4 linked regions of the Astyanax mexicanus genome follow. The protein of the gene in region 3 interacts with the protein of the main gene of each other region in a pairwise test. Links are inferred from orthologs where the notes say so. Each region holds a gene or a part of one and is shown on either strand. Other genes may lie near its edges.

Region 1 (7,943 bases), about 33 Mb from region 3:
CCTGGAAGAAGTTCATCACCACAAACAGCTGGAAGTCTCTGTTGGTGACAATCTGCCACGTCATGGTGGTCACCGCGGACAGGGAGAGGGTAGGCTGCTGAAGGTTCGGGTCCGAGCCTTTTTTATCAAAGCGGCCCTCGCTGTAGAAGCCGGTGTAGACCATGCAGGCGCAGCCCAGCAGGGCCACCAAAAAGCAGAAGCCCTGAAAGGCGGCAAAGTTGTCCATGTTGTTGGAGATAAGGCCGCAGAAGAGCACGCTGGAGGAGCCCAGCAGAGACGCTACCTGGTTGTATTTAATCAGCCTCAGTCTGTTCTGGTGATGCTCCGAGATCTCTGCAAACAGGGCACACTGAGCCAGCAGCACGAAGGTCAGCATGCCATCAAAGGCGCATAGTGTGACTACCAGGTGTGCTCCACTCATCCAGTCCCCGGATTCATAGGTCCTCCAAGGGAACCAGGCCAGCAGGAAGGCCAAGCTGTAAAATGGAGCACCATACAGGATGGACAGTCTTCGTAAAGAACAGCAGGACATGCTTGAGTTGTCCTGAAGGTATCCAAACAGTGGGTCATTCAATGCGTTCCAAATCATGTAGACCACCTGTAGACCACAACAGATGTTATATAACAATTCATTTTTGCCAGATAATCTAAATAACTTTAATTAAGAACTCTTTGACCAACCAATTTGACCATTTCAGAGTTCTTCCTGGAACATTTCCGATGAGCCTACCAAACTAATCTTGTGTTCCAACAATTAGTGCCAAAGGTATTCAAATCAATACAATGACAAGAGCGCCCAAATTTATGCACCTGCCTAAGAGTGTTTTAATAATTATTGCACACCTTCTGTAAATCCTATAAACTTAATTTCATGTTCATCTGCTTTATGATACATTTAACTAAAATTGCTGATCCAAACAATCAATGATTTATAAAGAAAAATCATGATAATGATCAGGGGTGGTCAAACTTTCATACTACTGTAATTTGGATGGGCTTCATTCCATTCATCAGCATGTCATATTTTGCTGATTAACCTGGTTAGGCTGATCAACCAGTTTAACCAGCTTCATCAGTTTAAGACTGCCTTTTTTAGGAGGGGCATTGCTGTTGTGATGCATGCTACGTGAGAACACAGATAAGTAATAATACAACAAGTATGCCAATTCTGTGAAACAAGTGAGGCTAAAAGATGCAAAGGAGCTTCTGTATGGGACGTAGTTGTTTATATACAGCTTTGGAAAAAAAATAAGAAACCACTTCTGAATCAATGTCTCTGATTTTGCTATTTATAGGTATATGTTTGAGTAAAACGAACATTGGTGTTTTATTCTATAAACTTCGGACAACATTTCTCCTAAATTCCAAATAAAAAATATTGTCATTTACAGCATTTGTTTGAAGAAAATTAGAAATGGCTTAAGTAACAAAAAAGATGCAGAGCTTTCAGACCTCAAATAATGCAAGAAAACAAGTTCATATTCATAAAGTTTTAAGCTTTCAGAAATCAATATTTGGTGGACATAATAACTCTGTTTTCATGCATCTTGGCATGTTCTCCTCCACCAGTCTTACACATTTCTTTTGCTTTTGGATAACTTTATGCGAGAAAAAAAAAATTAAGCAGTTCAGTTTGGTTTGATGGCTTGTGATCATTCATCTTCCTCTTGATTATATTCCAGAGGTTTTCAATTTGAAAAATTAAAGAAACTCATAACTTTTAAGTGGTCTCTTATTTTTTTCCAGAGATGTATATGCATACATGTGGCTTGCAAAACCCCCCTTTAGGGGTACGTACAGAGCTCATACAGTAACGTTACAGCTCTATAGATACACTGGTATTGAGGATATCTCATTATTTGTTTAGGGTCCACAGTGTGCAGGAGCCCTCACCTGAGACTGGTGGAAGGCTGATTCAGATATCCTGTATTTGTTTAGGAAGAGTTTCACGTAGTAGAAGCTGAAGATGCTGTTCATCATGCTGGACCCGAGAGTGGTCATTGAATAGGCCACCGCAGCTGGATGCGCAGAGAGCCTGAAGAGCTTCATGATGTGAATTTGTCTATGATCATCTACAGATTAAAACATTCATAACACACACAATTCACTGTCTGACAGCGAGCTCGGCTAAACTGCTGCCTGGACCTGGATAAACCTTTTTCCGTGTGTACGGAAGAGGCGGATTCCATGTGTACTGGGCGTGTGTCAATCGGAAACAGGCTGAAGGCAGCCTAACGAGTGTGCATACTTGTGCCCTAATAAGCAGTGAATGCTAGTCGAAGCTAATTAACAAACTGCATATTGTATTCTTGCACACTGAGCTAAATCAATTAACTTAACTATAATAAACCTGTCTAGTTACATCTGTTACTAGAGATATTTTTTCCGAACCTTAAAGCCTGATTTAAACATTTAGCCAGTTAGCCTATGTTAAACTTAATAGCTTACTAGCTAGTATCTAGTATTTAGCATTAGCCTGTTTAGCCTGAGTTATCCCTATAAGCTTACCAGCAATAGTTAGTCTTTCTTTGCCTGAATTATACATTTTAATTAGAATTTGGGGGATAATCATTATCTGGGATAATGATTTTAGCCAGTTAACCTGTCACAGCCTTTTAGCCAGAGTTGGTCCGTTTTAGTGTGCATTAAACCTGTTAACCTAGGTTAGCCAGGGTAATCTTTTCCACAACTGAGTTTCAACTTTCAACAGCATGTTTTAACTAAAATGAACTAGATAATCTTTAGAGCAAGAATTGGTTTGTTATATTTATTTTACATTTAGGTCAGTGTTTGTCTGTTTTAGCTAAACCTTTTTAGAGTTAGAGTTAAATCTGGTAACTCAGTTAGTATTAGTCTGTTTAGCCTGGGTTAACCCTATTAGCTAGCTATCTAGGTTATAGTTAGCCTGCCTATGCCTGAGTTAAACATGTTAATCTGTTTTAGGTTTATCAAACACTTTATCCAGTAAGTCAGATTGAATAATTTGGGTGTTTGTTCGTTGATCTGAAATTATTAAGTGGAGTAGAGAGTGGACAGGCAACTGAAAGTTTTTCAGTATGGAAACAGGATTTTAAATAACTTATTAAACTGCAGAAAAATGGGGTTTTGTGTCACCTACCTACCTGTGGCCCATATATGCCAAACGCCTACCTTTCTGAGCCCTATTTGCTAGATTGAACCTGTTTCAGCCTTACATCTGTATATAAACCAACCAAAAAGCAAAATATGGGCCTAGTTTAAACATGATAACATGGTCACAGTGCCATCATCAGATGTTTGACAAAGTCTTTGTAGAGCTTTTAGATGAGACTCGTGTGACTCACAGGTTTACATTGTCAGGCATGTGACCATTAGTTTATACTGTGATTAATGTTTATTTTAGTGTGTGTGTGTGTGTGTGTGTGTGTGTGTGTGTGTGTGTGTGTGTGTGTGTGTGCGCACTGATGTTTGTACACTTTGTACACAGATATTGTACGAAAAATGTTTGACACATACGACACACTTTGCATGTTTTTGTATTGCCTTCTTTTAGGGCTATTTTCCATCTGCTACAACTGTGTGATGGGAGTGATAAGAAACACCTTGCTTTTTATATTGCCATCAGTGTTAATCATCTAGAGGAGGTGTGTTTTCTCTCCCCGAGATAGTCCAACATAGTTTGGTGATTTGTCTGCTCAAACACAGCTGGTTCCACCTAACCGTTAGCTGCCAGGTTCAGTAGTTGGTGTGTTTGAGCAGGAAAGTCACTAAACTTTGCTGGACAGCAGTCCTCCAGGATGGGGATCAAATAGGTTACAGTGTTTACACAGCTTGTGTGAGATGCGACACAGAAGTGTCAGTGTATCAAGAGAGATGAAAAAAGGAAAACAATTATTTTATATTGTATGCTTATAGTTTTATATTGTTGTAAACAAACATTCTCAAGCAAACCTGATACATTTGGCTTCGAATACAATAATTAATCATAATTATTTATGAAAAAAATCTCAGTAAGAATGTAGTTGCAGTCTTGTAAATAGTGACCCTGCAAAATCTCCAGACTTTGCAATATCTTAGCCTGTGACTAGTCTATGACTAAAAAGTCTGTGACTTGTCTTTAGACGTGAGAGGGTGTCTACGAAGCCCCTAAGGTGACATCATGTTGAAAGAACTTATTAGAGCATGGGAATGAGATCCTAATACGTGGTCACATCTTATTCAGGGGTGGGAACAAGATCCTAATGTGTGGGAATAAGATAATTAAGGCATGTGAATTAGATTAATAAGTCGTGGCCATGACTTATTAAGCTGTGGGAACAAAATAATTAGGTCATAGCCAGAAAATAATGAAGCTTGCTTTTCTAGAATTTAGCTTTTGTTTTAGAAGCTTGCTTTTTAATCTAGAATCATGCCATGTCTCAGTGCAAGAGACTCCAAAATATCGCCAAAATTCATTTCAAGAGGAAAATAAAAAGAAACCAATTCACTCTCCATCTTCTTACAAATGATGATCCTTGAATTAGAGATTTGATGTAACATTCAGTCGTCTTCATTAGCATTAATTTAGGGAAAAGCAAACTTTATTATTCTCTGGCTCCAACTTAATCTTATTCCCACACCTTAATTATCTTGTTCCCACGTATTAGGTTCTCATGATGTTAGTCTTTTTAAAGTCGTCTAGTGTATAGTTAGCTTAACCCTCCAGCCTAACAAGAATCAGGACACCATACCCCTAGACGTGCACGCGTAAAAAAACAGAGGGGTAGGGCAAAGAGGAAGGGCCGATGAGTGAAATGGGATTGGGCCTTTGTGTGTAGGCAGCATTGTTGATCTGTTTAGGACATACCCATTTCCTTCCGCCCCGCCCTCTTTCTCCTGATTGGTCAGTGACGGTGTCAATCAAGCGGCCGGGCTCGGTGTTATGGTGCGGATTGTCCCGCCCCCTGTTGCTGCCGCCGCTGCTTCAGTAGTGAGGGCTGTGAATTTGCCACGTTGCTGTTGATGCGGAGAAGCGAGTAGCGGAGCGGCAGCCGGTGGAGGAGGAGGTGGAAGAAGAGGGAAATGTAGCGTCCAGACAAAGAGAGCAGCTGTATGAAGACTTCCAGAACTTGAAACTAATACTCGGTGTGTCGGAGAGAGACCCCCTAAAACCCAGCCAGCATGCTGACCGATATGATAGTGGAGGAGGGATTTGAACACAATGAAGAGGAGCTGTGGTACAGCAGGAAGGACCTGGAGCAGGGTGAGGCTGGGAATGCCAGTGTTTTAGCTAATGTTTATATCTGTTTTATTAACTAAATTAGTTTATTTCTGTTCTGAAACGGAAGTTGGTATTGTTGGAATTGACCGTTCCACCTTAAAAGTAACATGACGAGACGTGTGAGCTTCTGTAACTGCTGCACTATTTAAGGTGGAAAGGTGGAAATATTGTTGGTTTATTGAGATGTTAATGTTAATTTCATGTCTCTATCCAATATCCAAAGACTCTCTCACTGTGTTCTACATCACAGTAACGGTGCTTTGCTGTTGGCTTCCCCCTAAAGCTACGGCATAGTTGTGTCAGCTGAAGGTCACGCCCATAGAGGCCCTTTTAAAGCTTCATTGACTTCACTGCTGCAGTGACTGCTGATGCAAGTGGACCAGCATTGTTGGCCCCTCACTCTTTTAAATAAAGGAGAACCACTTTTGTTTCCAAAAGGCTCAATTTTGTAAAAGAGGTTTGTGTGAATGACATTTTACAGACTTAAAAAATAGTCAATTTATGTGTTCCCCACCAATTCACACTGACGGATCCTATACAAAAATGGTTCTTCTATGGCGTTGCAAAAAAAAATATATATATATACTAAATTTCCTTAGAAAATAATTCAGTTAACCAATCACTGGTTCAAAGTACCTTTCTTTCTATCTAGGCAAATATATATATCAAGTAGCCACAGATTCATCTAAACAATGCACAAAAACTAAGGCAATTTGTATTTGGTTGATTCTTTTTTGTTGGACCAATGCTTCTTGGCTATACATCTTGTACAGTTAAAAAGCCTGTAATTTTATCTTTTTAAATGTTGTCACATTGGTAAGAAACATGCATTTGTTGGATAAGCACTAGAGCACAGTATCTTCTCTGCCATTGCCAAACTTATTCTGCTCATTCTGCTGTTGTTATTGCCACTTGTTTTGTGCTTCTGCTATTCCCAGATTAGCATTGGCCCTGCTAAAGTGGCCAATGGATGACTGCTTCATCGATTGGCATGCAACTTCAAGCTGTTGTGCCACAAAACAAGTTCCATATAATGGAGCGATGTCTGAGACGTGCCACAAAGACGACATCCCAAAAAGATCATCAAGCACAGAACAAGTCAATGGCAGAATGAGCTGTTTGTCATTGTCGGAGGGTAGCTGGTGATTTTTCATGGGAATGACTCACTTACTCAGCTCTGCTGCACATCTCACAAATGCATGTTTCTTACAAATAAAGGAGAAGGGGAAAATAAAGTTTTCGCTACATACACTATATTGCCAAGTTTATTTGTTCACCTGCCTTGCATTTTATGCACTCTTTACTGAAATGTTCAGTTTGTCAGTGTTATTTAAGCACTGACAATATTCACAAAATGTTACACAGTATTTTGTATATCACAATACAGTAAAATATCACATTACCCTCCCCTGGCCTAATGATATTGATGTTTTCTTTTGGAACAAATAGCATGGGTTATTCAATTTGATATGTTTTTTGACAGCCATTTGTATGTTAACGGGTTGCCTTCAAGCGTCCTTCACCAAGACCATATGAAGCAGGCTACTTACGTCTAAAGCAGTCCTTGTAACTAGCTCTTGGATAGATAAGTCTCTTATGACTCATACCTCGAGACTGTCCGGCCTCTGGCTGACAGGATATTCTGTCGTGCTGTGCTTAATGTTTACTGTTCGTGTGTGTGTGTGTGTGTTTCTCTGAGGCAGATTTACATTTGGCCGCACAGCTGGGCAAGACACTCCTGGACCGGAACCATGAGCTTGAACAGGGCCTTCAGCAGATGTACTCCACCAACCAGGAGCAGCTGCAGGAGATCGAGGTTACATTTCCCCTCCAGCTATGTTCTGAAGTTTTTACACTGTTTCTTGGCAGGGATAAGGGGCCCATGTACCTCCACAAGATATGAGCTGAGAATTAAGCTTTTTTAAAAAAAAAATAAATAAATAAAAAGAGGATTAGGATAAAAACTATTTGCTGTTTTGAAGCACTTAGTAATTATACCAATCGGTTTCTGCAGCACAGCACTTTTCTTAAGCCCAAAGACGTTCTGCATCAACAAAAGCATATATAGTTCTGCAGCAGGCAGCGAGAGGACTGAAATGTGTACCAGTAAAGTTGGCACAAGAAAATCTAAGTAATAAGTAGTGGAAAAGTCATTGGACAATAGCTGTAATAGCTGAGAAGCATCCCAGCCAATTTACTCTAGTGGTGGGCTTTGGAAACAATATAGAGTCCTAAATTTAGAGTCACTTTGCTCTGTGATGTAGAGTAATTGACTCTCATGTGTAAACAAAAAAAGCTGTGGTGAATACTGACTGTATACTGGTTGTGAGCAGAGGAACCATCCAAGTCATGGATTACAGCATCTTCATTGGCTAGACAAGAAAACTGACCTGATATGTGCTTTAGAGTCACTCTGGTGGCGTGTTAAAAAAACTTCCAAGCTATGAAATAGAATTGCTTCAGCAGTGGGTCGAGGACAACCTACATGCCACAGGGTAGAGTAACACTGCTGGTGAAGCAAGGAACCTTCCATGTTGTAAAGTAGTGTTAACACTCTACCATCTATTCTAGTGGTGTTATCATACCATATTTTTCGCACTATAAGGTGCACAGTATTATAAGGTGTACTATCAATGAACATCTATTTTCATACATGAGTGCATCGGGTTATAAGGTGCATTTTGCTTAGTAAACACACCTGTAA
Region 2 (7,001 bases), on a different chromosome or scaffold from region 3:
CTGTAGCTCCGCCTCCACCTGTTTAGAGTACTGTCTCAGATCCACCCCCTGCACAGATCCCGCCCACAATCAATACAACACATTTACCAATAGATCAATAATCACAATAATACATCATCAAACATAATCAATACATAATAAATAATCTCACCGTTTTCAGAGCCTCCTGCACCAGTTCATCCTCCAGATTAGCCTGAATATGAACTGATCACAAATAAACACATACAGGTTTATTACACCAACATTAACACCAGAGACTCAACATCACACACTGTCTGTCTGTCTGACTGTCTATCTATATATCTGTCTGTCTGTCTATCCATAAATCCATCCGTGTATCCATCCCTCTATGGATCCATAAATTCATCCACCAATTGATCCATCCACCCATCGATTAATTTATCCATCCATCTATGTATCCATCCGTTTATCCATCCACCCACCCATTCATCCATAAATCCATCCACCCATCTATGCCTCTATGGATCCATAAATGTATCCACCAATTTATCCTTCCATCAATCCATCCATCAGTCTATCCATCCATCCGTGTATCCATTTATTTAAACATCTACCCACCCATCCATCCATCCATCCATCCATCCATCATCCATTTATCTATCTGAAATCATGCATACTAAAAACGAGTTTATCCTGTTTCTACTGTCCAGAGAAGAATGTCTACTTGATTCTGGAGGTGAAACACTGCTGTGAGGATTTAACTGCATTCAGCCACAAGAGTTTCAGTTATATAGTTATGTTATATATTTATAGTTATGGAGGCAACATGAAGAGGAGAGATGCATTGCGGTTGAACGAGCTGGTCAGGAGGGGCGGGGCAGTGGTTGGAATGGAGCTGGACTCTCTGGTTACAATAGCTGAGAGAAGGACTTTGGATGAACTGCTTTCTATCATGAACAATGATAGTCACCCACTTCACACCACCATCATGAAGCAGAGGAGTGTGTTCAGTGGCAGACTGCTGTCACAGAGCTGCACAACAGACAGACTCAGAAAATCCTTCATTCCCAGAGCCATCAGACTCTTTAACTCCTCCCATCGGGGACGGGATGCTGCTGCCGACTGAGTTTAACCCAGTCACACCACATGAACATTATTACTCAACCACTTAATTATTTACACTAACACTTCCCCAACCTTGCTTACATTAAAGTATACCTTACTCATGATTGGGTATTCACATTTTCACATTCTCTTTTTAGAACTGTCTTCTAACGTATGCAAATTTATTATATTATATTTCTATGTCACAACAGTCACTTTCGTAATCGATGTCATTGCACATTGCACTTTACTCTGTTAATTATTTAATTAACAATGACCATTAGCAACATCTACTGCACTGCTCCGTTTACAGATAGATCCTTACCTTGCATAGTTAGGTTTTTTATAGTCTTATATATTTTCTATTCTTGTGTTTTGATTTGATTTGTCTGAGTATGTTTCTTATTGTATTGTGTTGTTGCTGCTGGATGCCTAAATTTCCTTCAGGATAAATAAAGTAAGTATCTATCTATCTATCTCTCTATCTCTCTATCTATCTATCTATAGGTCAGGGTGATCACCACCCCATATCCTTATGTTCCTTAATGTATGAAAGGTGCTTTATGAATAAAGTTTATAATTTTATTATTATTATGATAAATAAGCTACAGTTACAGTAGATACAGACTCACGTTTCTGCACATCACCAAGGGGAGTCGAATTTCAGCACAACACCCTTGATCTGGGATTTAAAAGTAGTTTTACTGTAAAACAGCTGGATAAGCAGCTACTTACTGTCCACCTCATCCAGGATGAACTCATCAGTGGTTATATCCAGATCCCCCAGATTCAGAGCTGGAACCAGATCAGAGTCCGGCTTCTGATACAGTCAGAATAAAAACAACAAAACTCAGTACATCAGCTCATTAAACCAGATACTGCATCGTATCGTACCCAATAATATCGCCACCATTGTGAACTATGATATTATATCCTGAAATATGGCGCCATATCACCCACCCCTAATTATCACACCAGGGTTCTACTTTTATACTGTCTTTATCAAAAGAAAAAATAACACTGTTCTTATTTCCCACTATATATCTACTAGAGACTAGAGATTTCTTTTACTTTAATCCTGGATATATGAAGATATTTGGAGTGCATTAATATTATTAGTATCATGATCACTGACTTCTGTTACAAATCTAATGAAAATTTATTGTATTTTTTAATATCTCAGTTATATAATCACATATCATATTACATGCAATAATAACATTTAATTTTCATTTTTTGGCAGTAGTGTATTGTTGAAATATCATGATATTATTTTAGGGCCATATCGCCCACCACTAGTGGAAATCATTATTCAGTTTATTTGGTTGCGCCCATTGCTGACATAGATGTGCAAATACACACACAGCTTGTTTATTTCTGTATTTTTCAGTTTTGCCAATAGATTAGGACTGTCTGGAGCAGACAAATAAATATGAATCTATTGTCTCCATGGTTAATCTAATAACATAAATGGGATACAGAGAAATTATGATGCCTTATATTATGAGGGCTTTTATTATGAAGGGCGTCTGTAGGCCAAAACACAGCTAGGCTAATGATGCAGTGTAATAGATTGATTCGCTATAACAGCTCTGTTACAGCGGAATAAACGCTATAAATCAATAATCAATAATAAGTAGGGTTATTAACTGAGTTTATAACAGTAATACAGATCAGTATCAGTTATAAACCCGCTGTACTGAAGCCCAGCTCAGACCAAACCGCCGCCAGAACCCCGTCAGCACTCCGGTACCGATCCCACGAACCCCCGAACACCCGCCCACAGCGCGGTACCGACCCGAAACCCCCCGCTAACATTAACCAGCCGGTACCTCCTCCTGCAGATAAGCCATAGCGGCGCTCCCGGTTCCGCCCGCCGGGGTTAAATCAGCCGCAGCCCCGCCGGAGACCAACACCTCCGCCATTACTACTGACACACTGAAAACTACAACTCCCAGAAACACTACAACTCACCGTAAAAAACCTGCAACTTCTATAAAAAAACTACAACTCCCGTTAAAAACAACTACAACTATAACTTCAACAGTTATAAAAAAACTACATTTCACAATGAAAAAATCTACAACTCAACGTATAAAAAACTACAAATCCCACATTAAAAACTACAACTCACATAAAAAACCTACAACTTACCACCCCGTGTCACTCCCCGATCTGTACCCCCTGCCCGATTTGTGCCGCGCATGCGCACTGCACACTGAGCAGGGGGCGCAGATCGGGCAGCCACGGCTGTCAACAGTTGTCGGCGCTGTGAGATCGCTGATCAAGCTTAACTTCCGTTTTCTGAATTCTAGATAGACAGATAGGTGTTTAAAATAATTAAAAATCGAAAATAATCTGTTAAAATGTGTGAGCCTGCTGTGTTTTTATTTATTTTTTGTTACATATACCAAGTCTGTAAATTACTTCACATTTAAAAATTCTTTTTATTCTTAAAATACACAGCAAATTATTATAAATAACAGGTACAACACATTCATCAAAATATCAGTTTATTTTACTCTCAGAAAAAGCATGAGAGCGAACCCATATCTCTCTCAACACACACACACACACACACACACACACACACACACACACACACACACACACACACACACACACTTTCCTTGCCCATTCCTTCGTTGTGGTTGTATGTATGTGTAGTTATTAGACATTTTGTGTACAGCACTTTGGGCAGTGGAAGCTGTGTAAAGAGTGCTTTATAAATAAAGCTTACTTACTTACTTACTTACTTACTTGGAGGATGGCGTGAATGCTGAATTTAACGAAAATGTACTCTGCACAGCTCTGTAAAACTTAAAATCCTTAATTTTGACACCACAGTGTACGAGCTGTTTGCGACAGTGTGGGCGGAAGTACACCTTGGCATTACCTACCCGATCTGTGCCCCTGCTCATCTCACTCAGTTTGCAGTGCGCAGGCAGGGGGTACAGATCGGGGAGTGACACGCACTACATCCACCATCTTACCTCTGACGCCCTTTCACCTCTCACCCCTCTCTACCAGCGGCACACTTTACAGAGCTTTACCCTAATTAATTTCATTAAAATCCCCTCATTAAAATCCCCTCACTCTTATTAATAAATAAACCCCCAAACTGTCCTATTTAATAAGCACTGACTGTAAATAAAACTTAAAATTAATATTTCCTCAAATATGAAATATTTAATAATAAATATAAACAGCTTGTTTAATATTCATGAAGTATATTAATAACATTTGCGTATGCAACAAAACAAATATCATAAAGTTTCAAAGATAAATACCAAAATGTTAATGAATTCCTTCCTTACCATTTCACCTCAAAATTCCCTTTTCTAGCATAAATATTTAAACACGTGATCCTTATTATTATACATTATCTTTTACTGACAGCATTAAACATGAAGGGCAACATATATACATTACTGATGTAAATAAAATATGCTACCAAATAAATAAATAAAATAAATTCCCCACAAAATACAAGAATGAAAAGTCTTTTAAGTGGTTCTTCATCTTCATCCTCTCTCTACTGGCAGGATAGTTGAATCTGAAACACACACAGATTAAGTAAGTTTAGCTTGGGCATTAAACAAATAATATACATTCTGAACAACACAAAAGTCTAACCATCCTGGGGTACGTTTCCCAAAAGCAGTGCAGGCCACGTGTTTGATTGGTCTAATACCTGGCCACGGTGGTGTTGGTGAACTGGTTTAACTGGGGTCAGTGTTAATGTGTATTATTATTATCCCGCCGCGGGCTCGCGGGGGAATTTTGAACGCGCTCCGGTCCAACGCGGGTAAAGCGCCGTGCTTTAACGGACGGAGGATTTAGCCTATCATAAACGCTGTTTCTGCAGATCAGACGTTCACTGAGACCATTTCTAGAACCGGATTGGATGGAACCTGTAGATATTCGGTCGCTATTCGTCAGACAGACTTGTAGGCGGGCTTCTTCTTCTCGGCGTAATGGCCTAGTGAAGCGCTAGCGGCTATGCTAACCGCTGACCCGCGCAAATAAAGTGCAGATAAAGTCCAGTATTTAATAATCACTCTAAACCAGAACTCTAAAGGTATTCGGTGGTTAGGATATTTTCAGAGTGTATTTCTATTGTAAAAATATTTGCACCGCTGAGGGCGGTGCTGAGGTTTATGCGCAGATTCATAATAAGGTATTTGCATATTCTGCCTAGTAACCGCTCATGTCCTCACTCCTGTGGTGAAAAACTTTTTTGCTAACTCTGCAGCTGATTGGTTAAGTCTCAGTTTGAAGTGATGACCCGCATCTGGACGACATCTAGAGGCTAAACACTCGAACTGCTGCTCTCTAACTACTGCAGAAACTATGGTCCTCAGTTCACCGGGGCTTTTACCCGGTCCCCACATATACGCAATTGTAGGAAGGTATGTGTGTGTGTGTGTGTATAGTGTGTGTGTGTGTATAGTGTGTGTGTGTGTATAGTGTGTGTGTGTGTATAGTATGTGTGTGTATAGTATGTGTGTGTATAGTGTGTGTGTGTGTTTGTGTGTATAGTGTGTGTGTGTATAGTGTGTGTGTGTGTATAGTATGTGTGTGTATAGTATGTGTGTGTATAGTATGTGTGTGTATAGTGTGTGTGTGTGTATAGTGTGTGTGTGTGTATAGTGTGTGTGTGTGTAAAGTGTGTGTGTGTGTGTGTATAGTGTGTGTGTGTGTGTATAGTGTGTGTGTGTGTATAGTGTGTGTGTGTGTATAGTATGTGTGTGTATAGTATGTGTGTGTATAGTGTGTGTGTGTGTTTGTGTGTATAGTGTGTGTGTGTATAGTGTGTGTGTGTGTATAGTATGTGTGTGTATAGTATGTGTGTGTATAGTATGTGTGTGTATAGTATGTGTGTGTATAGTGTGTGTGTGTGTATAGTGTGTGTGTGTGTAAAGTGTGTGTGTGTGTATAGTGTGTGTGTGTGTATAGTGTGTGTGTGTATAGTATGTGTGTGTATAGTGTGTGTGTGTGTATAGTGTGTGTGTGTGTAAAGTGTGTGTGTGTGTGTGTATAGTGTGTGTGTGTGTGTATAGTATGTGTGTGTATAGTATGTGTGTGTATAGTGTGTGTGTGTGTGTATAGTGTGTGTGTGTGTGTATAGTATGTGTGTATATAGTGTGTGTGTGTGTGTGTGTGTGTAAAGTGTGTGTGTGTATAGTGTGTGTGTGTGTGTGTGTGTATAGTGTGTGTGTGTGTATAGTATGTGTGTGTATAGTATGTGTGTGTGTGTGTGTATAGTGTGTGTATAGTGTGTGTGTGTGTGTGTAAAGTGTGTGTGTATAGTGTGTGTGTGTGTATAGTGTGTGTGTGTATAGTATGTGTGTGTATAGTATGTGTGTGTGTGTGTGTATAGTGTGTGTATAGTGTGTGTGTGTGTGTAAAGTGTGTGTGTGTGTGTGTATAGTGTGTGTGTGTATAGTATGTGTGTGTATAGTGTGTGTGTGTATAGTGTGTGTGTGTGTGTGTGTGTGTGTGTGTGTGTGTATAGTGTGTGTGTGTGTATAGTGTGTGTGTGTGTGTGTATAGTGTGTGTGTGTGTGTATAGTGTGTGTGTGTGTGTGTGTATAGTGTGTGTGTGTATAGTATGTGTGTGTATAGTGTGTGTGTGTATAGTGTGTGTGTGTGTGTGTGTGTGTGTGTATAGTGTGTGTGTGTGTATAGTGTGTGTGTGTGTGTGTGTATAGTGTGTGTGTGTATAGTATGTGTGTGTATAGTGTGTGTGTGTATAGTGTGTGTGTGTGTGTGTGTGTGTGTGTATAGTGTGTGTGTGTGTATAGTGTGTGTGTGTGTGTGTGTATAGTGTGTGTGTGTATAGTATGTGTGTGTATAGTGTGTGTGTGTATAGTGTGTGTGTGTATAGTATGTGTGTGTATAGTGTGTGTGTGTGTGTGTGTATAGTGTGTGTG
Region 3 (7,656 bases):
AGTATTTAATACTGTGTTGTGTTTTTTTTCCCCCAAATCTAAAAAAAAATGTGGTCATGGACCAGAGTGGATTATTACAAAAGCAAAAATTGATTGATTTATTATTTTCGTCAGACATTAGATTCCTTTCCATTTTCTCTGGTAAAGGATATAATTCTATAGATGAGAAACTATGGTTCTCTTAAGCAGAATTGTGGATGTAGACACTTTTTATCAGTTCAGTGCAAGTGTACTGCATTTGATATAGTTACAGTATTTTATATGTATAAAACCTGTTGCGATTCAGCTCTGCTGTTGCAGTCTATGATGTTTTCTGCTATTTGGTGCATGACAATGTCCTCTGTTTACTGTAGCATTGGGTTTCTCAGTGTTTATAGAAGTTGCTCTTTTGTACACTATATAGAGAATGATTTGCAGTTTTATTGCAGTTAAGATTATAGCATTTAAGTATTGGAGTAAGAGGAGCGATGCTCAATCTGCCGAGTCCTGTACAGAAACATTTAGTTGGCATGAATTACCTGATCAGCTAAAGCAGCCAGAAACCATTGTTTTAGATCACAACAGGAGATGCTAGGCTAATTCATGACCAAAAACTTTGCTGTCATGGTTTAAGAACAAAGTTGTGTGGCTCTATCCTCAGAGCTTAAATGTTAATATAATTAACATGTTAAATGTTAATATGTTAACATAATGTCTAATCATGCAGTTTTGCACAACAAGTAAAGAAGAAAAAGTTTGCCAAAATATTTGATTTTTTTTAAAGCATGCCATCTGGCATGTTTTTACAGAGATTAGATGGACCTGGTGAAATTTTAGGTTCACTTTTTGTTACCAACTTTAGCTTAGCACCTCCTGCTCTAAACTAAGGAATCGAAAGGCTGTCAACAAACAGGACTTAGTTTCCCAAAAGCATCTTAGCATTAAAAACATCTTAACATGGACACAGAGAGAGAGACAGAGAGAGAGAGAGAGCTCGGGGTAAAGCTTGCTCGGCCAATTAAGAATAAACTTTGTGCTATGAACCTTTTGGGAAACCCTGGATCTTTACTGATCTGCATATTCTGTTTGTGATGAATCATATATATTTGATAATTTGCCAAATTATCCATTTAATGTTGGAGGTGTTTACCTTTTCTAAAGTTGTTAGGAATACCTTTTTAAAAAAGCCTTGGTGTAGAACAGTAGCAATGCCTGGCTTCTATATTATTAGCTAAATTGTGGCAGTCCTATAAGAATGAGGTGGTAGGATATTTTAGTGTTTTGAGTTCCTTGTCACTTTAACCAAGATAGCAATCTATTTAAAACATCAGCTGCCCTTTTAAATAGTTTGATTGTGTAAAGAATAGCCAAAGTGAAAACATTTATTTGGAATCAAATCTTGCTCGATTTAGCATTTTACAGGCCAAAATTAAGGCTGTTTTTCTAATAGAAAGTGATCATTTGAAATATGCATGGCTTTGTTAGAATCGAAAAAAATATATAGAAGTTAATGTGATTTAATGATTGAAAAATCATTCAATTTAGAGGAATTGCTGACTGGAAAAATGTTGCTGGATATTACACCCTCAGCCCAAACAGCATGCTCAAAATCTAGATGTCCATCCAACATACTAGTATTCTCCTCATAATAAATAAATAAATTAAAAATATATCAGTTTTTGACCATTTTATTTAAAAATACAGTGGCTAACTAGACTTTAGAGACTTTAAGGTGCCCTTAAAGGGAATAGTCAGAGATCAGAGCAATCAGCAATGCTGCAGCTACCTGTACCTGCTTATCCGTGCACATCAAAGAGGAATAAATAGGATTATAATTAACAGGGAGGAATGGGGGAGGCAGTGTATACACTATTTCTCATGTTTCTCATGGGGAAATATCAGGTGCAGTAATAATAAAAAAAAAAAAAAAGAATTAACTAATTTAAAATGAAAATGCACTCCTTTTCACAAAAGTGCCAATCAGACCAACAAAGACTGGAGGTTGATGCATATCAACATGTCTAATTTTGTATTTGTTATTTTTTCCTTCCTTTTTTTTCTTTTTTTTCCCAGACTTTGTTTATTTACTTGAATGTGCACGCGTTTGTGCAAATGTTGCTGCTCTATTTTCATATCTTATATTAATCAGAGGTTACATTATCTGCACAGTTTCTGTAGACATGTGGCAGTCTGCTATTTGTACACCAAATTGGTAAACTGAATCAAAAATAGAAATTGAAATGTAAAGCTAATTTATTATGCTGGACTAATTTACATTGGTTTGTTTGCTTGGATTGATTGTGTCTCCTTTTGGAAAATGTACCTTTCTTTCACAGTGGCACAGAAGAGCCAAGAAAGATACCAGCTGTCATCGATATTGTACACGTTCTTTTCTGTTCGTTCAAGGACTTTCAGTGTTTTTGATGTTGCTTGTATTTATACAATCTCAGTTAGAAGTTTCACTGAGTGTGGAGACCCAATTGACTGTCCCAAATCTGACTTCCTCTTGGCTTTACTTGCAGCAAAACTGGTTGCAGCTCTATGAGAGTCTTTTACCATTGCAAATGAAGAAAATGTGCAGTAAAGCTTCAGAGAAGAAGGCCAGGAACCACAGTCACCTGCGCCACTTTAAATCTGCCATATCCAGGGATGTATAACGCTTTACTTCAGGTTGTGCTCACTGAAGGACATCCTTTAGAGAGATTAACAAATCAGGGCTTCATGAATCTGAAATTAACAGACCTATTCTTATTGTTGTTATTATTGGCAGAATTTACTAAAGGAATAGTTCACACACTGTCCCTGATTAACAATGACTTCCAAGAAGTGCAAAAAAAAAAAAAGATAAAAGGCCACACATGTACAGTTAAATTGAGTCTTTCTGGTCTTCCGTCCTAGATCTTGTAGATGTTTATACCTTGAGACTTTTTGTCTCCTCCAAATCCAAAGCCAGTGCGTAATGCTTGGCTGTGTGTCGTTAAAAAAAATAGAAAAAGAAAAGAAAAAAGCTAACTTGTTTACAATATGTTTATTTCAGTTATTTTTTTTTTATTTCCTACTTTCTGTTTAGTCTCACCCTGGTTGGTTATTGTGTCCTGGTCCTGTGATTTTGTTTCTTTTTAATTGTATTTCTCTCCTTCTTTTGCCAACAATTAACCATCGTATACTGTGACTGACTTGACTTTACCGACGGTATGAATGAGTGACTAGAAACAGATACACAAACTGAACATGTCACACGAAAACATAAACATGTACATTAACATTACTGAACAAATGTTTTAAAGAGGTATAAAAGGTTTGTCCAGAATGCAAATAACATGCAAAAAATAAAAACGGCGATTATAAAGAAAACGTCTTTGAATGTCTTTTATTTATATATAAAGCCGTTTGACACACACATGCACACACTTTATTTCAAATAAAAACTTGTGCTTAAATATACAGTTGTGGTCAAGCATATCCATGTAATCATTATGGACATAAATTACTTGTAAGAACTTGTAAACACCATTCACATGTTTAAGGGTAGCAGTGAAGGTTAAAACTAGACCAGTGTTTTTTAACTTATGGCACACAGCAGTGAATCTTCTACAGAGATAATATGGTTATAGGGTATTATAGAGAGAGTGAAAGTCTTCAATAATTAAGGTGTCTTAAAGGCATCAATTTAACAATATAACTAATTTCTATGTCCCTTTCCTCACAACATATAAGCATGGAGGGAAGGAAAGGAGCATTTTTCCACTCATGATCTGTTACAGGGCTGCTGGGATTATCATCAGTTATGTATATTTCTAACCTGCTGCTTATTTATGCTCTGTTGCTACAGTTAGATAATACAGTGTCCAGATGTTCCCATGGTGGCGTCCCGGTAGCCAAGCCTTCAGCTCCCTCGCCGCGAGAAACCTCCAGTGTGGTGAGTGCTCGCACTGCTTAGCAAAGATTTACCGCTGCCTTTTAGATCATTTTTTGCAAGCAAAGGAACATAAATACAGTAAATTCCTGTGAAGTATACATGATATGTGCATTATCAATGTGGAATTGTGTTTACTGAGTTCTTATATTCAAGTATAATTTCATAAATATGCCATTATAAGACTTAGGTTTTTATATTATATGGTAATATTGCGACTTTAATCTCGTAATATTGCGACTTTAATCTTGTAATATTGCGACTTTAATCTTGTGATATTTTGTCTTTAATCTCATAATATTGTCTTTAATTTCGTAATATTGCAATTTTATTTTCTTGTGATATTTTGTCTTTAAACTCGTAATATTGCGACTTTAATCTTGTAATATTGCGACTTTAATCTTGTGATATTTTGTCTTTAATCTCATAATATTGTCTTTAATTTCGTAATATTGCAATTTTATTTTCTTGTGATATTTTGTCTTTAAACTCGTAATATTGCGACTTTATTCTTGTAATATTGCGACTTTATTCTCGAAGTGATTTTTTTTAAGAGTGGCCCTAAAACGCCGTCGTAGATAATGTTAAATAAAGGTTGCTTAAAGTTTTTTTTTTTTCCTAAAAAAGATATGTAATGCAACAAATAATGACGTTTATACGATTTGCTATCAGGGAATGGAACAAATGACGGTTTTAATGGAGGGGGTCTCCGCGTTTAGTTCTGAGGTATTTGGGGGCTTTTGTGGGCTGTGTGTACTCGCGCTGTGCCGGTGTCTGTGTCGGAAGCGGTGTTTCTACCTCGCCAATCCGCTTTCACTCTTTCTCTCTGTTTCCTGTGTCCGCTGGCAGAGCAAACACACTTTCTTTTTCTGCGGAGAGAAGAGGATTTTACCCGAGCTGTTCGAGACCCAGGTGGTTAACTAGCTTTATATCACTACAGCCTATTGAAACAGCGGGGTTGTTGTTGTGGGACTGTGTAATATAATGGTTTTAATCGCGGTGTTTGGCGTTGATCTTGTGTTTTATCGCGGCGCTAACTAGCTTTAGCTCTCTGCTTAACTTAACGATAGTTTAAACTTGTCAGAAAGCCAGAAAACGCTTCAACAGAAAGTCCGGGAGGTTTAGCTAGCTGGATGGATACCTAACCCAACTCTAGCGAGGCTATAACCCAGGCAGTTTGTCAACAGAGGTGCACTTATGGGTGTTACTGTTTATGTGGGGATTAATGGTCATGATTTAACTCCGATATTAGCTAAGTTAGCGTTAGCGAGCTATCTAAGATAGCTGTGTTAGTGGTGTGCCGCTGTACCTTACCTTAGCTTTAAGTTAGCTGTCCTTGTTTTTCAGCCCTTTGCAGTTTATTTCGGTTAGCTGACTTGTTTATAAAAGCTCGAAACGATTTAACACAAGCTACAGAAGCTCGCAAAAGGCTAGCTATGGTTGCTAAGCTAGGTTAGCTAGCCTAGCCTGTTAAGCAAGTTGCGTGACGCTGGCTAACGACGTCGCTCAGTGTCGTTAGTCAGTGTTGTGACCGTTGAAAGATGTTGCTAGCCAAGCAGATAGTTAAGTTAGTTAGCTTTAGCTGTTGAAGTAAAACATAACTAAAATATATCATATATTACTACGTTTTGAGTTAAAAGTATATTAATTTATGATATGTGACATTAACGTTAATAAAGCAGGCCTGATGCCTGTTTTTCACCCTAAGTAACATTTATAAAGGATTCTTTATGTCCTCTTTTGTGATTGTGAATGAATGAGAGACTTTTACTTACTTTAACATTTTGTCCGCAGATTGAAAAATGAAGAGACAAGACACAGAGGATCAAGTTGTGGAAAGCAGTGGAGGGTCTCCTGGCAGCGCTGATGGCACAGGAGAGAGTACAGTTAGTCCTGAAGGAACCGACAGTCCAAAAGAGCCCAGCACTCAGACTGACAGCTCTCCAACTATTAGCTCCAGAACTGATGAAGGCCGTAAGTGAGGAACAAATGCATATGTTCATCAATTTTAATTTAATCATAATTTCACCTGGATTGCCATTATGGGCTACATTCTGTAATGGTAATCCATCTGGATTTGGTCAAAGTTTGTATTTCTGTGGCTGAACAATATACAGGTACGCTACATTTACATTTACGTTATTTATTATCCAGAGCGACTTCTGCTTTGTTAAGATTAGTTTAAGAACTGAAAAATGAGTCATCAATCAGGGTTTGAAGTAACTGCTGTTCTGACGCCCAGTGGAAGTTTGTTCCACCACCTTGGTTGCAGGACAGAGAAGAGTCAGGATGTTTGTTTCCAGACATCTAGACTCTTCTCTGTGCTGGCACCAAGGTGGTGGAATGAACTTCTACTGGTTGACAGAACAGCAGAGTCACTCGCGGTCTTCAAACGTCGACTAAAGACACTAAAGACACATCTTTTCAAAGAGTTTCTAAACTAAAAAAAAAGGTTCCTAGGGTTCTAAACATGATCAAGCTCTGTGTATCTCTTGATCCTAGTCTACAAACTAGCTTTGGATATTGTAAGTAACATCGAAGCACTGTTGTAAGTCGCTCTGGATAAGGAGGTCTGCTAAATACCTTAAATGTAAATGTTTTCTGTTGGTTTTGAGGGATGGTGGTTCAAGCTGAGCGGTACTGAACGCTCTTCGAGCTCTTGATACAGATCTGGCTTCGACCATGGCTGTCAAGTAGGAAGGAGCTGGTCCGTTTTTGGCTTTGTAGGCCAGCGTCAGGGTTTTAAATCTGACGTGAGCAGCAACAGGAAGCCAGTGGAGGGAACGCAGCACAGGAGTCACATGACTGAACTTCGGAAGATTAAAGATGAGTCGAACTGCTGCATTCTGAATTAGTTGCAGAGACCTGATGCCTTGCAATAGAAGACCAGCCAGTAGATATTTGCAGTAGTCAAGTATTGAGATGATAAAAGACTGCACCAGCACCTGAGTGGCTTCCTTAGACAGAAATGGTTGAATTGTTCGGATGTTATACAGAAGAAATCTGCATGACTGAGTGACCAGTAAATTCTTGAAAGAGATGGAGAGATTGTGGTGAAGACCTGTAGTTCCTGGGATGAACAGGAGGTCAGTCTTGCTGGGGTTAAATTTCAGGTGATAAGAACTCATTCATGATGAGACTTTGGGGAGACAGTGTTTTTTTTTTTTTTTTTTTTTTTTGCTTCTTCATATAAAAGGAATGTTTTGAAATCCCTGTTTATGTGAACTCCCCCATCACTATTAATGCTCCCAACACTAGTAGGGTGAAGGTCAGCACATACCATCTACCAACTCCTAAGAGAGCAAGGCCAATTGTGCTCTCTCTGGCTGCTGATGGCGAAGCATTATGATTTGCGATTCACACCTTGGTTTATCCCTGGTTAAAATTAATATAATTTTGGGTTCCCTGAATATTTTATTAATATCGGGATTACTGAAAGATCAGGGACTTCTAGGAAAATTCCTGTGTTTTTTTATATTGCAACATGTGTTACAAAAATAAACTATGTTGCATTGTCAGCTTTTTCCTCTATATTGCTGTTTTATTTACTGAAGTAGGAAAATTAATAATTTACTGGATACTAAAATGTTATGCTTTTCCAAATGACAGTTACATCTAATTTATTGATTTAGAGAGGCGTGAGTATGTCAGAAGATCAGCATCAGTATATAAAGTTACACCATGCTGGTATTAACTAAATGTGTTTTTAAAAGTGTAGCAAACTTAGTACAATATATATATTTTTAATTATATTCAAAACA
Region 4 (7,382 bases), on a different chromosome or scaffold from region 3:
AAATCACATCTCATACCGTTGCAACCCTAGGAGTAGCCTGCATTTGTGGTTGCTGCCCAAACGGGCGGCCTCTTGAGACCCAGGGTCAGTCCAGCAGCACCACATAAATTATGATTTTGGGCCTGGCAGAACTTATCTGCAGTATGAGGGAGATTTTAAAAGGCTCTATTCTTCCCCATGTGAAGGCTCACATACATTCAATCATCAGTTTAAGTCTGAGCAGACAAGCAGTCTGTCCTGATGAGCAATCCAGTCTGAGGGACTCCAAGCTCCCAATGATGACCATCATCATCATCATCATCAGATTTAACATAGTATTATGAGTAGAAATAATGATTAGCCTGAACAGGATTTACAAAGCCTATTATTCTGTAGCTAAGCCCCATGTTTTCCAAAGTGCCTGTCTTTTAATCTTAGCATGTGTTTACTTTAGAAACACAATAGTCGACTATAGTCTGAAAGTTTACCAAGTGTACCAACTGTAATTCCCACCCATGTCACCCTCTGGATGGTAGGTGGTGCCTGTGCCGATGGAGAAGTGCAGTACGGAGGACATTAAGGAAGCCTTCGTGGTGCAGGCTCAGGAGCAGCAGATGGAACTGATGGAAATTCCAGAGCACACAGACCTCAAACAGGTACATTTAGCCACTTACTTACAGAAAAGTGAGGAGTAAAGGTCATTTAAGAATAATTTTATTGCCTTTTCCATAATTTCCTAACATGTATTCCAAGGTTTTCTGAAACTTAAGTTGAATCAGGGTTCACACTAGTGCTGGGTGGTATACTGGTTCATCTGTTATACCAGAGGGGAAATTAAAACCGGTATGCATTTTTAATATACCGCCATACCACAAGAGGCGCTGTGGAGTGCTGTGTAAAACAGTACAGCCAAAAAAGCACACTGGCACAGCTCGCTAACTAACGTTAGCCAGTTAGCATAACAAGCTTATACACTGGAGTAATGTGGAGCCAAACGCTACGTCCTGCCTGGAGAAAAATGCAAACAGCACTTTATCAGAGGAGTTACTGATGCTGTTTCGTAATGTATGAGTGTTTTTATTTGAGTAAAATACAAAACCAATAGCAATTATTAATTCAGAAAAAAGACAATTGGAATAACTCAATCGATCCACAGCTTGGCGAAAAGTTCCTCTTGTCCCCCAGATGAGCCCAGAATCGGTCCTGGGTACAGAGTCATTCGTTTAGTACAAGTGACAAAACTCTCTAAAACCCTGGATACGAGGTGTAAAAAAAACTCAAGAGCAGTAACTATAGCCCTTTAAATGTATACATACTGTAGCTTGAATGATAGTTTTAATGCTTTTTTATGTATAGGGCAAAGCATTTGTGAAACCCAAACCCTTCCAGTCCTCTCACTTTAATTAAAACATTCTCTGCTCATTAGCTCTTGGAAAAGTAATAAAAAAAGAAATTTATTAACAAACAAGCCACATTTCATTAGTATCAATGCAGAATTTCAGCATTTGAGAAGGGCAAGTATAAACATGCTGTATCCTGTTTTGTATTGGTCTTGGTTGTTAGTATTAAGTCAGGCTAAAATAATGATCAAAAGAAATTTTGAATAATGAGTAAAAGTGTTACATTTGTTTTTATTAATTTTTGGAAGTAAAAAGTTTAAATCTGGCTTTTTTCCTTGCTCTGTTTTAAAGATTGCTCCACCAGGAACTCCTTACTTCTATGTGGAACTGGACACAGGAGAGAAACTGTTTTACCGAATCAAGAAGAACTTTCCATTGCAGTTTGGCAGGTAAACAATCCAATTTGAAAGAGTCTTTGTACACAAATAAACCTCGCACATTAATTTTTGAGCAAAGCGAGTTTATGAATATGTGCTATATTTACACCAGGGAAGTGTTGGCAAGCGAGGCAGTGATGAACATTCCGACGCGGTCAGACTGGAGAGATTGTAAAAGCAGCAAGGAAGAGGAAGAGGCTCTGGCAAAAAAGGTCCGCTCTGGTTTTGAGGCTTTTGACTTCACCATGGATGACTGAGAATCTTGCCAGTAACCAACACATTTCTCAATGCACACAAACACACTTGAAAATGACCCATTTGGTCTGATTTTTTTTTCCAAACACAGATGCAGAATTTCAGTACATATTTTCATTTTTTTATGTTTTTAAACTGATGTCATCCCAGCATTTTGCTCTTAATATTTGAACTGACCAGAGATGGATTCTGTTGAAAATATTACAGAAAGAAGTTTTTCTTGACTATTGTTTTTAAAGGAATTTGTGGAAGAACCTGTTCATAGTCATTGTATAGTCAAGAATATCCTCTTTTTACCAAGTGTTTGTTTATTAAAATACTTTTTGAACAGTGGACACTGAGTTTGATGTTTGCTTGGAATCTGTGTTTTTAGAAATACTTCTTAAAGAATTGAGTCATCAGGATGTTGTGAATGTTTTGTACAACACGCTCAACATCAGCAAATGACATTTAGAACAAAACAAATATAAAAAGGCAAGATGTCCCAGGTGATCATAGTATTCTGTCTCAGGCACACCTTAGACATGCTAAAGAGCATCGCATGATTAAAGGTGAAACACAATCTGGAAAAAATTGCCATTCTATAGTCATCAGTAAACACTAGTCTAGACAACCACTAGATTTGTGACTTTTATGGCTAGCAAATGCGACTTAAACCGGTTTCTGATTTATGCATCTCATTGTAAAACATAATTCAAACCAAATCTGTGCCAAATAACGGACTGTTTATTAAAGTACATACACATACCTGGAATGAACTTCACTTATGAAGCAACTTATAGCCAAATATTAAGCGATGGAAAGATAGAAAGAGAGAAACAGAGGGAAATCCTCCCAATGTTACTTACAATCAGCCATTTAGCTTTCGCAGTTTTAAAAAGGCTTGGCCGAGACTCACCTATGTGCAATATCTCTCTCTTTACCTGTTCCTTGCTGCTCCAACATGAGCTTTCGCTGTTTACTCACTGGCTCCATCATGATAAACCTACATGTCTACAGCTATCGGCATTAGAAGTGCCAAGTAATGAAATACAAATACTTTGTTACCTTACTTAAGTAGAAATATTGGTTATCTATACTTTACTGGAGTAATTTGTTTTTTTTTTTTCAGACAACTATTTACTTCTACTCCTTATATTTAAAAAAAGCCTCATTACTCCTATTTTCTTTTAGCTTGTTTTCATTCTGGCTTCTCCTTGTTTAAAAAAAACTCTGTCCAGATAAATCTCTCCATCCATACAGAGTGAATTTGATTATGGTTGGATGAGAAGTATAAACATATAACCTTCCGACACCCTATCGGATTATATGTGATCCATCACCACTGCACACGTCACACTCCAGCAAGAACATAACAGACGTATGTAGCCTAATATGAAGAGGATCTCTGGCAGCGGCTCAAGAGAACTTGAGCGAAATGTTTGTGACACTGTCGGTTCTAGGGGCATTGGCCCCAGGTAAAAAAAAAACTGATTGGCCCCCAGAAGGGCCCCTGTCCTGTCACTCATCTGTCCATTGATCAAGAGGGCCAATCAAATATTAGTGGATGCATTTCAATGTCCAAACACTAGAGGCGCCAATTAGTCTAATAAGAATGTCCAGTGTAATACAAGCTTATATAGAAGAGACGTTTTAATGTTTGGACCTGACAGTATTTGTTCAAAAGTAAAAAGAATTAAAAAAAGAATAAAATGGGTTTGATCATATGCTTTGTGTATGAGAATATTTTCTCTATATACAAAAAAATGCATGTAAAATATTAAAAAATGCAGCTCATTTTGTGCCAGAAGTTTCACCCAAAAATATAAAATTTGCGATCAAATTTGCAAAATATATGCATTTAGAAGCAAGAAACAATAACTGCAAAGAAGATAAAGCAACCACGTATATATAAAAATATATATTTGGTATATATTTTTCTGTTTTGAATGAGCAACATAAACATTTTCCTGTTAATTCTTAAATTCCTTTTGATGATGAAAATCCGTCTCAAAAGCAGCTGGCTATCCAGAAAAAAACATACCTTATGCTGGTTAATAGAATAACAAGCTAACTTCCCATCTTAGAATATTTTATCACTGGATGGTTAGTATTTTTAGAAGGCATTTTGATGGCAGATTTTGATATTTATTTTATCTTATTTTATTGCGCAAAATGAACACTGAACATTTTACTGTTTAAACTTACATAAAGTGCGTTCAAGTGTTTGAACATGGCGTGACTGGTGAAATAGTACTTGTCCCCTCCGTGAATATTGTGACCCCCTTGCTCAGGAAAATCCTAGATTTGGTTTGAGAAAACGCTTCCAACAGGCCTGTAAACCAGGACTCTTAATTTGGAGTGGAGCTCTCTGCAGGCGGAAGTGTCGCGGGTCATACTAAAGTCACATGAGAGACTTGAGGAACGATGGTTTCAGAATACTGAACTGCAGAGCGGAATTTATACCGGCTTAAGATCATTTATATTAGCTTTATAAAACAGTACAAGATCAGATTAATATGGACGAGGACGGGTTACCTATAGTGGGCTCGGGAGTGGATCTGACCAAGGTGAGGAGGGTCTGTGTGTCTGCGCTGTTACAGCTGGAGCTGCGGGCTTGTTTACTCTCTGAGTAGCAGATCAGAGAGCTGTCATTTCAGTCTCTCTGCTGAAACCTGTGTGTGTCTATGTGTTTGTGTGTGTGTTCAGGTTCCTGCAATTCAGCAAAGAAGAATCGTCGCTTTCCTCAATCAGTTTATTGTTCACACGGTTCGGTTCCTCAACCGGTTCTCATCTGTCTGTGAAGAGGTGGGTTAACATTCTGAAATAGCTGGTTACGTTACCCTATTTCCATATTTTGCATTTACTTTTTTTTTATTCAATTGCTTTACGATGTGTTGATAATTTAGCAAAATCCCCCAAAAGAAAAGGACCCAGACCCAGACCGTTTACAGTAATGATCTCCTAAAAACGTTAATCTAGACCTGTCTCTCTCAGTGCCCTGGTCTTGGAGGCTCCCTGCCCTGCACATTTTAGTGTGTTTACTTCTTTAATTCACCCCTACAATGCTGAAAGGGCGGTAAATAAGCTTAGCTAAATCAGGTATGTTAAGAAAAAGGTGCAGGGTAGAGGTTTGTGGAACACTCCCACATAAGTATAACATTTTCTTGATAATTTTGGGAAGATATAGGCTGTTCATGTCTTGGTAAGAGGTGTTGTAGAAAAGAAAATGAAAGGTGGGCTACTCCCACCTCTCGTCCGGGGTACAACTCCCCTGCGTGTTCGTTTGATAGAGAGAGTCAGACAGATGGAGTGAAGTTGAAAGCAAACCAGGTATTTATTACAAAGTACTGAATATCCAGGAGAACCCACACATGAAAGACCGTCTAACAGCCGTCCCAGCATAAGTTCTGACCCCCCTTCTGATCTGACTCCACGTTTATACCCCAAAATGACGTAAAGCCTGTTGATGAGGCGTTGTTAAAATCATCTCATGTTAGCATGCACGTGTTAGCACTGAAGTTTCCCAGGTTTGATCACACCACCAGTGTTTGACCTTGACTGTCTCCAATCGGACAGTGTGGCATTGTCTTCATGACTGGACCGAGTCCGGTAAAAACAGTGTGGTATTGTTTTAATAATTACAAAGTGTCGTCCTCCCCATGTGCGTGCTCCCATCCCGCTTTGGGAGATGAAAAACAACGCACACACAGAGTGTAAGGCTGCACTGTTCGTACCCGAGTCTCTTTTGTATCAATTCAGTTCGTACAAAGTGCACTTGGCTGATGATTGATTGTCAGTCAGAAACATGCAGTAAACTAAATGCTTCAGGCATAAGCTGTATGTGCCCAACAATTGGTTCTATATGTTATTTGTTACTGTGTTAGCAGCGTGTGGTTAGTCCGCCATATAATAGATCCTATGTGTTAATATACGCCTTATATATCATGTTGGTTAATTTGTCATAATAAGGTCTGTGTTAGTCACATGCCTGATCAAACAATGTTTTACTATATGTGTAAAGGATATATTGTGATTATTGATTAATCTTTTATATAAATGCGTGTAAAATATACTGTGAGTGATAAAATGATCAAATATGGTGTAAGTATTGGTTAATGCATATAAAATACAAGGTTTCACACGATGATTATGTAATTTTAGATACCAAGATAAGTAATCATGATTGTGAGATGTTTGTCAATACATTCAAGGTAAAACAGGGTTTCTTCGTAAGATTTCCCACAGAGGTAAACTTCCAAAATAAGCTTCTAATTTGTCTAATATTGTGGCAAATGAGATGAGAAGTGAATTTGTCAGATCATCTTACTAACTAGTGTGTATTTTTTATTGTAGAAACTCTCAACAATATCATTACGGATTCAGCAGATTGAAACAACACTCAGCATTTTGGAAGCAAAGGTAAAACATTTCTAAAATATTTTGTAACTCAGACAATTGCATACAGATTCTGCAGGCGATTATATGTGACATTTCGCACTTTTTTACAAGTTAACTCAGTTCTCTTAGCACTAACATCACTCTTCTCATTATGTCTAAACAGTCTGTTGAGAAAGTTTAAGTGCTTGTTCCTTTTAATGTAAATGAAAAACTGTTGATGCCTTTTCATTACTCTTGTCTACAACATCTACACATTTTTAGAATTTTAAACTTCACCTTGTTCACCTTGAGCTAGAGATAGACTTGCTGTTAACTACGCATTTGTGTGTGAACTGCATGTAGGGGATACAGATATAATACAGATATTATAATACAGTGTCTGCAATAACTTATATCTGTATTAGAGGTGGTAACCACAGGGCATCTCACAATATTAGCACGATACCTTTAATGATAATATGATGATAATATTATGATACTGTGATTCTGAGATACTCAATATATACCAAGACAAATCTCTACGATACTTCTCAGCACCTGTGCTACTGTAGACGATAAGCAATAGCAGAAATAAATTATATATAGATGTCAGTTTCACAGACTTTAACAACCAGTATTCATCATTGCAAGTTTACCTTATTTATTTTATTAGAACCATCATGTGGATTAATGAAGCAGTAAATTTAATAAGTAAGTCAAATTGGGGGCTGAGTCCAGGGAGTTCAGAGTGCCTATGTTTTAGTAAATATATTGATATTTGATCCCAAATACAGATACTGTCTCACAAACGAAAACAATACAGTATATTGCTATATTGATATTTTGTCTGACTCCTAATCTATTTGTTGTTTTGCGACTGCACAAAGGAAAAATAATACTCATCTAAACAGGTGCTGAGAGATCAGGATTATTTAAAAAAAAAAAAACTGCAACAGACTGTTATGTCTCTGCCTTTTTAGGCTTTGTTCTCTGGTCTGCCCTCTAGTGGAAG

Evidence for each region.
Region 1: the proteins of txlna (region 3) and cdr2a interact in binary tests that used the Homo sapiens proteins (3 or more experiments, as listed by UniProt). The two-hybrid records come from large-scale screens. The link is inferred for Astyanax mexicanus from reciprocal best matches to the Homo sapiens genes TXLNA and CDR2.
Region 2: the proteins of txlna (region 3) and vacuolar protein sorting-associated protein 52 homolog interact in binary tests that used the Homo sapiens proteins (3 or more experiments, as listed by UniProt). The two-hybrid records come from large-scale screens. The link is inferred for Astyanax mexicanus from reciprocal best matches to the Homo sapiens genes TXLNA and VPS52.
Region 4: the proteins of txlna (region 3) and washc3 interact in binary tests that used the Homo sapiens proteins (3 or more experiments, as listed by UniProt). The two-hybrid records come from large-scale screens. The link is inferred for Astyanax mexicanus from reciprocal best matches to the Homo sapiens genes TXLNA and WASHC3.

Annotation. Positions count from the first base shown.
Region 1 is NC_064410.1:7,014,930-7,022,872, forward strand, and holds the start of cdr2a (cerebellar degeneration-related protein 2), read left to right. Parts: upstream 1-4,925; 5' UTR 4,926-5,139; coding exon 5,140-5,221; intron 5,222-6,942; coding exon 6,943-7,055; intron 7,056-7,943. Other genes in the region: mfsd13al (transmembrane protein 180-like), read right to left, coding at 1-598, 1,894-2,049.
Region 2 is NW_026040044.1:1,819,070-1,826,070, forward strand, and holds the start of vacuolar protein sorting-associated protein 52 homolog, read right to left. Parts: upstream 3,015-7,001; 5' UTR 2,991-3,014; coding exon 2,898-2,990; intron 1,886-2,897; coding exon 1,801-1,885; intron 205-1,800; coding exon 152-204; intron 49-151; coding exon 1-48. UniProt on the Homo sapiens protein: Acts as a component of the GARP complex that is involved in retrograde transport from early and late endosomes to the trans-Golgi network (TGN).
Region 3 is NC_064410.1:39,643,916-39,651,571, reverse strand, and holds the start of txlna (alpha-taxilin), read left to right. Parts: upstream 1-4,648; 5' UTR 4,649-4,807; intron 4,808-5,689; 5' UTR 5,690-5,697; coding exon 5,698-5,869; intron 5,870-7,656. UniProt on the Homo sapiens protein: May be involved in intracellular vesicle traffic and potentially in calcium-dependent exocytosis in neuroendocrine cells.
Region 4 is NC_064409.1:37,361,038-37,368,419, reverse strand, and holds the start of washc3 (WASH complex subunit 3), read left to right. Parts: upstream 1-4,371; 5' UTR 4,372-4,509; coding exon 4,510-4,560; intron 4,561-4,699; coding exon 4,700-4,798; intron 4,799-6,346; coding exon 6,347-6,412; intron 6,413-7,382. Other genes in the region: cwf19l1 (CWF19-like protein 1), read left to right, coding at 516-635, 1,671-1,768, 1,869-2,013. UniProt on the Homo sapiens protein: Acts as a component of the WASH core complex that functions as a nucleation-promoting factor (NPF) at the surface of endosomes, where it recruits and activates the Arp2/3 complex to induce actin polymerization, playing a key role in the fission of tubules that serve as transport intermediates during endosome sorting.